2 linked regions of the Coturnix japonica genome follow. The protein of the gene in region 1 purifies or fractionates together with the protein of each later gene. This does not show direct contact. Links are inferred from orthologs where the notes say so. Each region holds a gene or a part of one and is shown in the gene's direction. Other genes may lie near its edges.

Region 1 (5,657 bases):
AGTTAATCTGTGCTTACTGGAAAGGGTGGAAGGAGTAAGCCAAACATTTAGCAAAGCAGTACCAAAACGTTTTATTTGGTATTAGCGCTGTAAGTTAGCTTTATCTCTTGTGTATTTGATACCTTTGGTACCCGGGTCAATCCTTTGGAACCAAGGCAAGAAAGTAAAACATCAGTCCTGAAATGGACTTCAAAATTTCATTTAGAAACACTTTTCTCAATTACAAGCTTGAGACAACAAAACAATAATAATGGAAAATAGTGTTACTTAAACGGGAGATTTAGGCTTTGGCATTTTTATTAAGTTGGACCTCACAAATATACTTGATAAAGAGGATTTATTACCCTTTCCTGACTCTTAGATTTCTGGCATTTTGTTATTTATCCCTCTGGTCAGTCCTCGCCTCCAGTAAGACTGAACAATCTTGAAGCAGTATTTAAATAGTTCTTAGCACATTAACAACAAATTCCATAATACCTAACGAGCTAATCTCAATGTTACCAGTAATCACTGCTTTCTTAAGTGGCAACTGTCAACTTCAGTGGCTATTTGCAAAATATTATTTAACTCATTAATTTCTGCAGCTCAACAAGCACCTGCCTTTAACAGAACAGCAGTTTCTCTTAGCATTCTTGTGTGCATGAGAATTGCTTGTAATGAGCCTAAGCATGCTGTCTGATCTCCTGTTAGTGACCTTGTAACAGGCTCTAGATCATATTGATCGAGATGCCACATAAGCTTGCCAAATGAGACAGCTGTGTATCTAAAAGCCACTAATTCCTTCCCAGTCCTTCTCCAGGATACATCCTAGCCTGCTCATTCTTTTACCATTGATCACAGCTTCCTTTCAAGCCATATTTATTCTTTTAAGAAACTCTTGAAAAACAACTTTCAGTGAAGGAAAAATGCTCAATGCACCCACTCTCACTGGAAATTGAGAAGAATTTACAAGCTTATTTACAGGAAGCTCTTTTTCTCCTCCCCACTCCTTTCCCTCACTTCCATGCTGCAAACAAACACTTAATGAGTAAACAGCTAAACCACAGCTTTGGCAACTGAAACAGCAGAGAAGGATGGGAAGGGCTGATGTTCATTTTTAATGGTTGGTCAGACTGTGATTCCAAGCAGAGGAATTTTTTTTTTACGATAGTTTAATTGTTTCTGAGAGTTCAAGGGCAAGGTGATGATCTGCTAGATGTGTGGACTTCTAATCAAGTTTGTCATTTAAAGATGGTATTTAACTTTAATCTGTGCTGTTCCTCACTGTACATAGCAGATTTCAGTCCTACTGTTCTTTTTCTAGTAATATTTAATAAATGTTGTGAATTTTGCCCAAAGGTCAGGCCAGGCATGGAGAGGCAGGTCTGTTAGTGGATTTGGAATAAGAAACAGGTTGAAAGACTGGACAAATTAAAAGCGTCTGTAAATACATTAAAGTATTTGGCTTAACTCTACAGCAGTGAATGCCAAATCACTTAGGCTCTTCATCTACATTTTTCAAGAGAAATAAGCAGAGGCTCTATAAGTGCTTCTTGCTGATATGCTGGCCAGTGAGAAAGTAAAACATCACCCAAGCCAACAAGGGCCAAGTAAGATATCACTTATTTGCAAACAGGGGAGATTATTCAAAATCTAACTTCCCTGCAAAGGCTGTTAGGCCTGTGTTAATGTCTCCTATCATCACTTTCCTGGCAGTGGAACAAGATGAGCAAAGACAACTACTGCACTTGTTGTTTTTTTCTCCTCCATGAATATTTCAGTGAGATGCAGTAATTATTTATAATAGGGAAGTACCCTATTGGTATTAATTAGTGGAGGTCAGGCAGGACACGAGGGTGTTTCTAGAGTTCAACAAGGACAAGGACCTCTAGAGACCAGATCCCAGATAAGCTGAAATGGGAAGTGGATTTGAGCAGCGGTACCGCAAAAAGGACTCAGAGTTTTCCAACTTATGTCATAGTCAGGATGACAGCTTTGCCTGCTCTTTCTAACAGAGAAATGCCCACTCACGGGCGAGTACTGTCTGTACCAGACTTGCGACCAGCTTTCAAACAGGTCCAATATGCTGCTGTGCTCAGATGAAGTTGGCCTTTCTGCACATCCAGAAGGACGCATACATCAGCTCCTGCAGTACAGGAAGTTCTTGCCAGAGCAAACACGTGGCTGTCTAACAGCCATCTGGGAGACATGGAAGCTGTCAAAGGCACAGTCATTTGGGCATGTTTTCTTCTGTAAAACTCCTAAAAGTGAACCGTGTGGCAAACCAGATTGATTTAAATGAACAGAACTGCAGTGGCTGCTCATGCTGTAGAGTTAGCGCTTCTTTGTTTAGGTCTGTGTTTGCATTTTTATTGCATGACACGGCAGTTTAAATGCACATGTAATACTTTATTTTTAGTAATGAAGAAAGCTTATTACTAAAAGTACTGTTTTATCTATATGGTGTAGGAACTACAAGTGCACGTGGACCAAATTACAGAAATGGCAGCGGTAATGAGGAAAGCCATTGAAATTGATGACAAGCATGGCTGTAAAGAGCAGGAACGTATCATTCAGCTTGAAGTAAGTATGAGATCTTTTTTTGAGATTTGTGCCAGTGATGGCACAAATAGGGATCTGTCTTCCTCTACCCTCCCAGTGAGAAATGCTCAGAACTGACTGTGAGACAAGAAGTTGCGATTACACACAGATCAGAGTCTGGCTGTCAGAACAGGGAAACTCTCTGCCACTTATTTGGGGAGTTGGGGGAGCAGGTTACCGCTACCCAAATACGTTCACACAAGCTTTAAATTGTGCTCCACGTCTCTAAACAAAATATCTTGTTCTGACCCTACAGTTCTACCTTTCTTTTACAGTCTTTCAGTACTTTAGGGTTTAGGAATAGCCAGCTTCCCGTGCATCTGCTGCCAGTACTCAAAGCCAGCATTAAGATAGCTGCGTGCTATCTTCATGGAGCTGGACTGTTTCAGGTAATTAGTTTACTTAGGAGAATTAGTTTGATGTTGTATCAAGGAGCTGAGGGGGCTGTAGCTGACATGAGATTGGTCTCTGCTGCGGTGCCATCTTTCCAGAACTCGGGAGCAAATCATGTTCTGTATTCTTGCAGTAGATTTGCTGAAATTGCCACAAATCCTGAGATGCTGATTTAGACTTTTGCTTTAGTCACCTGCTTGGTTTTCCAGTCTCCCTCGGTATTAAATCATTTCCTTTGACAAAGGTTTTCCCAGTGCGCTACCAATTTGGCTGCTTTTTTATAAGACGTTGTGGAACCAAGTCACACGTTATTATCGAGTGAGGAACTGGGTGCAATGTTTAATTATTTCCAATGCTGCTACCAACCCTAACAACAGTTTTTAAAGTCAGTAAACTCTTCAGTAAAGGGATCCTTTCTGTTTGTAACTCTGTGGTAATCCGGCACGTAAAACAAAAGCCGCTTTGTGCACTTACCTTCTGGTACAGTTCGTTGTGTGTAAAATGCCTTTGGTTCTGTTGTTCCCAGTGCTTCAGTTATTTCTAGAACTCAGCCCTTAGCAAGGGTGTTAACCTTATCACAGTTACTGAGTTACTGTCTCTTTCTTGAGTTACTGGATCATTCACTGGTACTGCTAGTTTGTTGCATGTCTTTTGTAAGTGTGTTTGTAGTAAAGGGAAGGAGAGATCCTTCATGTAGTTATCTGACTTTCTGGAGTTCTATTAAATGCCTTTTTTTATCCCTCGGTTATAGCAAGAAAACAAAGGCTTGAGAGAAATTCTTCAGATAACCAGAGAATCATTCCTGAACCTTAAGAAAGAAGATGCATCAGAGAGTACATCCCTTTCAGGGTTAGTAACAAGCAGTGATTTGAGCCTGAGGAAGAGCTGAAGACTGTGGAAGCCAACCAGCTTTAATTGCACACTTTACAAACGGAATATCAGGGGTCACTTGTCAAGCACTTGTTACTGAATAGGGCACCAGCAGGCTTATGCATCTTGAACTTTGGTTTAGTGGCTTTTATACCGTGTAAAATAAACTCCAGTCGGTACTCTCTGAATACCGTAGTGACAGATTAATTGCCATAGGTCTAACTTCAGTAGGAAATGGGTTAGTGCACTTATGGAATTGGGAATTATTTTTATATGAAGTCATTTTACAAATAAAATACATAATTTCACTTAATTTATATAATTTATTGCTCGGACAAAACTTCAGTGCACCTATTATACAATAAATGCAAGATTTAAAGTAGTCTGATATCTGGCTAAAAGATAGCGACTGACTACGCTTTGTGCATGCTCCATAGTTCATTTGTCCTTTTAGTTACTAAGGTTTGTGAAATTCAGCATTTAGCAACGAGCCTCTTTAATGGAAAGAGCCAGCAGAAAGCCGACGGGCTCCTGTTAGCCGCAGGCTGCCCTGTTGCAATGTAAGGCCAGTTGCTCAAACATAAGCAATACTTTTGCAGTTGTTTTTACCTTATGAGAGAAAATGAAGCTCAGTTCTCTGTGGGTGGCAGGCTGCCGTAGTCTCATCTGTTTCTTTGGGGATTGGCTGCCCAAAGCTAGAAACAGCAATTTGAAAGCACTCAGACCGTACTGAGGGAAAGATAATTGGGAGAAAGAGGTGAGAAATTCTATGGCAAAGTTAGCAGACTGTGCACCTGGAACTATTATTTTCTTTCTTTAAGTACTATTTAGTCAAGGAGTTTTGTGTATTTTCACTGGGAGCTCTCAATACATCACACTGACAAGACTGCTCACTTTTATTAGTGAAAAAGCTGCAGAGGTGAAAATGAATTAGCGCTTCTAGAACAAGAAGTAGCTTGCACGGTTTGCCTGTACACCAGAAGTGCTTCGTAAGATGTGTTTGCCATGAAAGAGGCGCCGCAATGATTGACAGCTGGCTTTTGTCAGACCGCTTCTGCTCATTGTTCAGAGCGCTAAGGCTGCTGCTAAGCGAGTTACCACATTTTGTTCAGCGTGTTACTATAGTCTTTACTTGGAACGCACACTTGAAGTACAGTAAAAGCTTTCAGTCACAGAAGGCTGCAGATGTACAACCGGTATCGGGGCTGTTTACTAACTTACTTACCTCGCACAATGAGTTGAAGTACTCTGCAATCAGTTACCATTTAAACAAGTTTCATTTTCAGTTGCAACAATGCAGGCGGGATGGAGCATTAAGCGCTATCAAATGCGGCTGTTTTAAAAACAATATTAAGTAAAACCTCCATAGACTCGAAGGTACATGCAACAAAAGGTCTACAATGGAACTTAAGATTCCCAGTGGATGGGCCGATTTACAGGGAGCTTAATGTGATCTCAAGCCCAAATGACACCTGCTGTGATCTAAACGTTACCCATGCTTACATAACAGCTTTTTGCATTTCTGCTGTAGCTTGCAAGCCGGTGACTTAGCAGCAGCGACATCTATTGTACCGCAGTGTGTTTTGGCACTGCCAGCTGGGAAGAAATTCTGGCTTCAGGTTTTTCTCCAAGTGTCTTTTCAGCTGTTGGCTGGTATCAGAGACATTCGCATCCGTTTGATACTGAATGCAGCTCCACGGCTGACCTGCACTGTCTCAAATACAGTCTGCAGAGGGTGTAGCAGAGAAGGGTTGTTAGACTGTGGCAGTTCTTTAAGGTTGCTCTATTATGAAATAATGCTTGATTAGTGTTTA
Region 2 (6,341 bases), on another chromosome or scaffold:
TCACTATCAATTTCCCCTCCCAAAATACCAACTGTCTCAAGATCTGAATTATTATTGAAGAATTACCATATTTAAACACTCCACAAAACTAAAAATTCTTCACAATACATAAGGTCAAATCTTATTAACCAAAAGTGAGGTGCATATTTAACTAATTAGCTTGTATCAACAAAACATTCTTTTCTCTCATCTCATAGCTACAGCTGCTTTGCAATGGCTCTAAAAGACCAAGAAGGATGCGGATAACTCACGCAGCTTTTATCACATTAGCCACACTCTGCTGTTCTCATAATCATTAGCTTTGAAGTATATTAAACAAAGCAGAAAGTGACCTTAGAGTTGATATTTTCAGCACACCACAGAAGAAAAAATTCTTATCAGACATTTCAGGCCACCAAATGAGATGCTGCTCATAATCACCCAAAACACAAACAGCTAAAAGAACATCGCTGCTACTCTGCCAAGCAATGCCAGGCAGTGACCACCCTACCAGCAGGGCTGTGTTATAGACACCCAATTTCAGCTTGGCTGAAGGATCAACATGAAGCACATTGCATGTATGAGACCAACAGGAAAAAAAAACCAAAGCTTATTAATACAGCATGGCTTTATTAACAAAATGCACAGGTTACCTTACCTACATTTATACTCACCAACAAACTCCACTAACCCAACAGTTTTGAAGACGCTTCCAAATTTAAATCAACTACTCTGATCTTCAAAGGTACAAAGTTACCACTAAACATGTTACTTCATAGATGTCTATCCCTACTATCTGCCCACTACCTTGAATATTAATGGTTACCTCCTAAATAATTTTAAGCAGAGAATCACAGGACACTTAACATGTTAATTCATGTTCAGGCAGACAGAATAATATACTGCCTACACAGAATATCTGCTAACAAGTTACTTTAAACATTCAAGAGTGACAGACATAGATAAAGAGCAACAAAACTTGAGTTGGAGAAAGCAATAAGATACTGGAGCAATCAGAAAGGTCAACAAAGTGGAAGAGCGATAAAGGAGCACAGAAGCAAAGGGAATAGTGGGAATGTGATGGTGTTACAAAGGAAAAGGGCTCACCCATCACTGAAGATCTGGGTTCACAAGGAAAACACCACAAGGGAGGGATCTCCAGACAGAGATTCTTCCCCAGTGGCAGTCAGCTCTTCAGTGTGGTCTAAGAGAGACACAGCCAGACTCCGCTCCTTCTGAACTGGTGAAGCCTTCACCAGTGCTCCCAGTTGACTGGGTCCTTTCCCCAGGTGCACAATCAGTGGTTCAGGCTTTGATTCAACAGTCACCATACAGATACATAAGTGAGAAAGCATACTAAAGACCTTGGAGTAGCTAGAGCTTGGTGCAAAGGATCCTACCAGCACCATCTCCTCTCCACTGCTCCATTTAGTAACAAAACAAAAGTTGAATTAAGAGGTAAGTAAACATATGACATTGACATATATAGAATAACTGTTGGGAGTTATTACAATGATGGAACACTCAGACACTCCTGGAGCTCTGCTGGACTGCCTGAACACAGGTCAAAGAGCATATTAAGTAAATCTAGGAAAGCATCATTAAGCATTACTTATGCTGTGACTTAAAGTAAAATACTAGCACCAGTAGGACTGCAGCTTCCTAACATCACTTTACAACCACTAAGGAATGACAATATCATAGATGCATATGCACCTCAACCCATGCTATAATGCTTCTGTGTCTGTCACACAAACTAAATAGCAAGGCTTTCTGCTGGATTAAAGCACTGATCGCATCAAAATAATTGAGGAATCAAAGACAAATACTCCGCATACACAGTAAAGCATGACAAATCTAGTAGTTGTTTTCTAGCATCCTTCCTTACCTACATGCAGATGGTGGGCACTGGTAGCATGTATGGGTAGCACACACAAGGGCTCTGCTCCCACACATATATCAGTATCTTCCCATTTCACCACCTCGGCGCTGCAAGGAGATGCAGCTGGCATTCAGGAGCACCGCGATGCACCGATTCATCACCTGCTTACAGCAAAACCCGCATACGCCTCACCAAAGTAATAACAGTACCAGGAAAAGTTGCAAGCTAACGCATTAGAAACGAAGGCTCAAACCTAGAACTGAGCTGCGTATTGATGGGAATTCATATTGGTTACTAAGAGCTTCACCTTAAAGCTTTCCAATAACTGCGAGCACCAAAAGTAACGCGACCGTTGTCAAACAGCCCATATAGGGGACACCTACAGGGCAACACAAGCCAAGAGATAGAGAGGAGAGAGGCAGCAGCTCAGCACAAGGCTGGGGCAGCTTCGTTCTGCCACGCTCAAACCACGGCTGGGACAGAGCTTCAGGAGACCACAGAATAGCATAAAACACACTCAGGTGGACAGGCTGCAGGTGCCGGGACAGCAGGACGCCACATTATTATTGCTCTCTTCCTTCCCCATTCTCTCCCCACATCACCCACCACCTCCCCTCAGGCACTGACACACAACCCGCACTACGGAGCCACGCAGCTTCACACCGACATCAAACCGCAGGCTGCTCCCGCAACCCTAAACACAGCACCGGCTGAACACAGCAGGCTAAAGGCACTTACCACAGCAGCAGCTCAACACCACCCCCCTCCACTGTGAGAAGTGCAGCCGCTGCTCCCCGCGCCGGGATATGCCACCGCGCCCCGTCCAGGCCTCGCCCACCCGTCCAGATTCGAGCTCTGATTGAATAGACTCTACTCCTATACTCCTCCTCATTCCCTCCTACCCGCCCCTTTTATCGCCTCGTTGCATTGTTGGTGTTGTAGTTGAGGAGAGAGGACTACGAATCCCAAGTATCCGAGCGGCTGCCGGTTAGTTCCGGACAACGCCTGGTGTGTGGTAACACGGCGGACGCTTCCTCCTTGTTGGGTTTCCGGCGAGGTGGAGGAGCCCCCTCGGAGCTCGGTGAGCTTTGCGGGGCGGAGAGGTATCGAGGTAAGGCGGTGAGGTGAGAGAGGCTTCGTTTTCTTCTCTAGGCCCATGTCTTTAAAGGGATAAGCGCCTGGAGAGACACAGAGGAAGAGGGTGGGGGTCACCGGTGTAAGGCCTGGGTTTCCTTTTGGGGTTGTGCTATGTTAGAAGCGTTAAACTGTCTCAGGTTTGAGGCTGGGTGAGGGGAGAAACGTTGTTTGCTGCAGGTGTGAGGCCTCGGCCTTTTTCTTCCTACCGCGGGGTGACCTGGCCCAAGGGCTCGTCCTTGTTTCCGCCCTTCCCGCTCGGATCCCTCCTGGTAGGGCCGGGTACCAACCCCCGTCCGCAGCCCTATGGCTGTTCTTGGCAGCGTTAGGCCTGCGTTGTATTTTTAGCCCGGCCTCGTACTGCTGAACGGCGTTGTCAGGGCTGGGCCTGGTTCGCTCCAGGTGGGGCCTTTCGTCTGGGGGAGGATAGAAAGTGATCACGTCGTGCTTCCTCTTTAAACCAAGCTTTAGGCTGGTGTTGTTAAACACCTTAGTGTGCTGTTATATGATTAATGAGTGGCGAGTGTGTGGCCTTCCTGGGGCTTGTCCATATAGGGGGCACAGGTTTGCTGCTGAAGCCTTGAGGCAGGTGGATGTGTTCTTGTTATCAGAGGAACTGATTGCTGAGTGCTGGTTGTTTACCCATTGGGATGTGTTATTGTGTTTGGAGCTGTTTCTGTTTGTGGTTTATCTGTTAGTGGTTGATAGGGCAATGAGAACTGAGTAGTTTTACTTTCAAATTCCCTTGGAAGAGGAAAAGAGCTTGAAAGAGAAACAGGGATGTGTTGTGTTATTCTGTATTGGAGAGGCTTCTTTGTGGCCTTCTAGTACTTAAAAAGAGACATGTTAACAAAAGAGAAATGAACTTTGTCTGCGTGTCAGTAGTGATAGTACAAGAGAGAGATGAAATTAGGGCCTAGTCCAGGCATCTTTTGTTTTTCATGTGATAGGCAGACACAAAACCAAAGTATTAGGGTGTACTAAATAATTTCTATTCTGAACTTCAGACAACAGATTTATTGAAAGCCAGATTTCAGAGTATTTTGAAGTAACCGTCTAAAAATAGGCTTCTTGAATTTACTGCAAGTTTGTGCAACTTAGTCACCCAAATTGGCTTCACAATAATAAAATGCACAAGCAGTTATACTCTGTCAGAGTGAACTCATCTGGAAGTGGCTGTGATAGATGTGCATGCAGGTATTTGAGGAGTACATGTTTGCTCTACTAAGAGGCATTTAAAGATGCCTATTAAACTTGAGTGCTGTTTTCTGATAGTATTCCTTTTGTTATCTCTTTTGGGAAGGTGCTGAATGTAAGCATTAGCTTAATACAGAACCTGTACAGTAGGCTGCTTCTTTAGGTTTCTTGTTGTCTTTATTAGTTTTAGAATACAGAGGTTGTTATCATCATAGCTGCACTTGACACCAATTTCAGTGAATTCAACCATCCTGTCCCCAGCTCTAATAAGAGAAGTAGCTCAGTATTTGAGGCACAGAGGCTTTCAGCTTTGTACTATGCAGTCAAAGTTATACAAGAGGAGTGGTTATGATCTACGAATGGAAGTACTATGTAGGTAACTTCTCTCCGGAAGGGGGGAACTTGTGCTTTTTTTTCCAGTTTATTATGAGCAACCATTAACAAGAGAAACTTAAAGGTACCAAGTTGTGCACAGGGTAGGTACACTGTTAGAACTGCATATTAGCCATGTACTTGGGCTTTACAAATAAAGGCCAAGGTCTTTGCCTCTGAATTTGGGACAGGCCTCAAGTTAAGTGTTTGTTTTTATCCCGTTCTTTCTTACTAAGCTTAAGTTTTTCTGATGGCAAAGATCTTAGTGGATTTTCTCTTAACACAACCTTCTTGAATCCTCCCTACAAGAAGTGGAGTGGAACTTCTTGTTAGTGGGGATAATCTTTCTAGGAGGAGCAGAGCTGTAACTTCTGGTTCTGTCCTAAAAACCAGTCATTGAATTAATCATGCAGGTAGATCAATGCCTCAGGCCTTCTTCCACTTGGTACTTCGCTTAAAAAGAAGGAGCAGGCTTAAAAAGAAATAGCACAAACGTTTGGCTGCTTTAAGATTATCTACATCTGAGGTAAATGGAGCCTGGAGAATGGAATGGAGACAGCACCAGTGGTGTAGGTAGGTGACGTAGCTGAGGAGTGAAATTCTGCCATCTGGAACTTCATGTTTCCATTGTTTTCCAACTTCTTTCAAGTTCCAAGCATAACACTCTGTCTTCTCTTTAAACATGCTTTCAAAAGGTAGTATGAAGCAAAATACTTTCTTTCATAGACAAGTAGATTGTTTTCACACTGACCAGTGAGCAAAGGTGGATTTGGGAAAGTTTCTGCCCTTCCTGGTTCTTCTGCCACTTGACTTTTAAGTGCCTGTCAGAAAATAGCATAGATGAGAAAAGCAAGTTTGTGTCTTGGGCACTGGTAACAGTAGCTGTACATTTTGGGAAAGTGTGGAGTTTCTTGCTTTTCATCTTCCTGCTTTACAAGAAGTTTATCTGAATGTAGGGTGTTGTGTTGTTTTTTCCTTTCAGGCAGTTCCATTGAATGATTGAAAACCTCATTGGGTGGATTTGGAGGAATAGATCTATAACATAACATTGAAATTCATCTTAAGTGTGCTGGTTCTGTGATTACTGAATAGTTGGGCTAGTCTTTTGGTGCTGAAACATTGAAGGTTATAACATATAAGATTTATATGGACAGTGAAAGTAGATTCTGTATTAGTTATTCTCTGGGAATAGGGCTTGATGCATTTGGCTTAATGCTAAACAGACAGGATTATATTAGCTTGCATCTTAGCACTGTTTTCGAATTTAAATTCTCTTTACACTGGCTATATCCATCTTGTTCCTTCCCTCTGATGATTGATTTCATCTGATAGGGGTGAGGCATGACTTGTAATTACACATGCTGGTGAACAGGCTACATTTGAATCTGTGGGACTGCTGTGTAAAGAAACAAGTCTTATATGCAGATGATATTGAGTAGTCTGTCTTTTCCCATAACTCATATGGTATATCCTAATTTCTCCTAGTCTTCTCCCTCAGACCAATTAACAGACTGGCCAGTTGAGTAATGTTCTTTTTGCATCTAACAGCAATTTTCCAGGGTTTTCTGTATTACATGACACTGTGGTATTCTAATGGATCAACTATTTGTAGGATCTTATTCCAGCTTTTTTGATTGTCAGCAAAGCCACACATAGCAACACTTCTGAAAGCTATTGGACTACCTAACAATTCACAAAAATGATGGAGCTGGTTTTAGTTTGCATGGGGATTTGGTCTAAATCATGTTTGAGACCATGAGATTAGTGAGGTGCTGGA

Evidence for each region.
Region 2: the proteins of FGFR1OP2 (region 1) and PDCD10 purify together in Homo sapiens (affinity purification with mass spectrometry; 3 studies listed by BioGRID and IntAct, counting the BioPlex papers as one, with this or other methods). This does not show direct contact. The link is inferred for Coturnix japonica from reciprocal best matches to the Homo sapiens genes FGFR1OP2 and PDCD10.

The regions. Positions count from the first base shown.
Region 1 is NC_029516.1:62,492,731-62,498,387, forward strand, and holds part of FGFR1OP2 (FGFR1 oncogene partner 2), read left to right. Parts: intron 1-2,448; coding exon 2,449-2,562; intron 2,563-2,855; coding exon 2,856-2,969; intron 2,970-3,724; coding exon 3,725-3,862; 3' UTR 3,863-5,657. UniProt on the Homo sapiens protein: May be involved in wound healing pathway.
Region 2 is NC_029524.1:18,269,375-18,275,715, forward strand, and holds the start of PDCD10 (programmed cell death protein 10), read left to right. Parts: upstream 1-2,792; 5' UTR 2,793-2,942; exon of another isoform or gene 2,943-2,985; intron 2,986-6,341. UniProt on the Homo sapiens protein: Promotes cell proliferation. Modulates apoptotic pathways. Increases mitogen-activated protein kinase activity and STK26 activity. Important for cell migration, and for normal structure and assembly of the Golgi complex.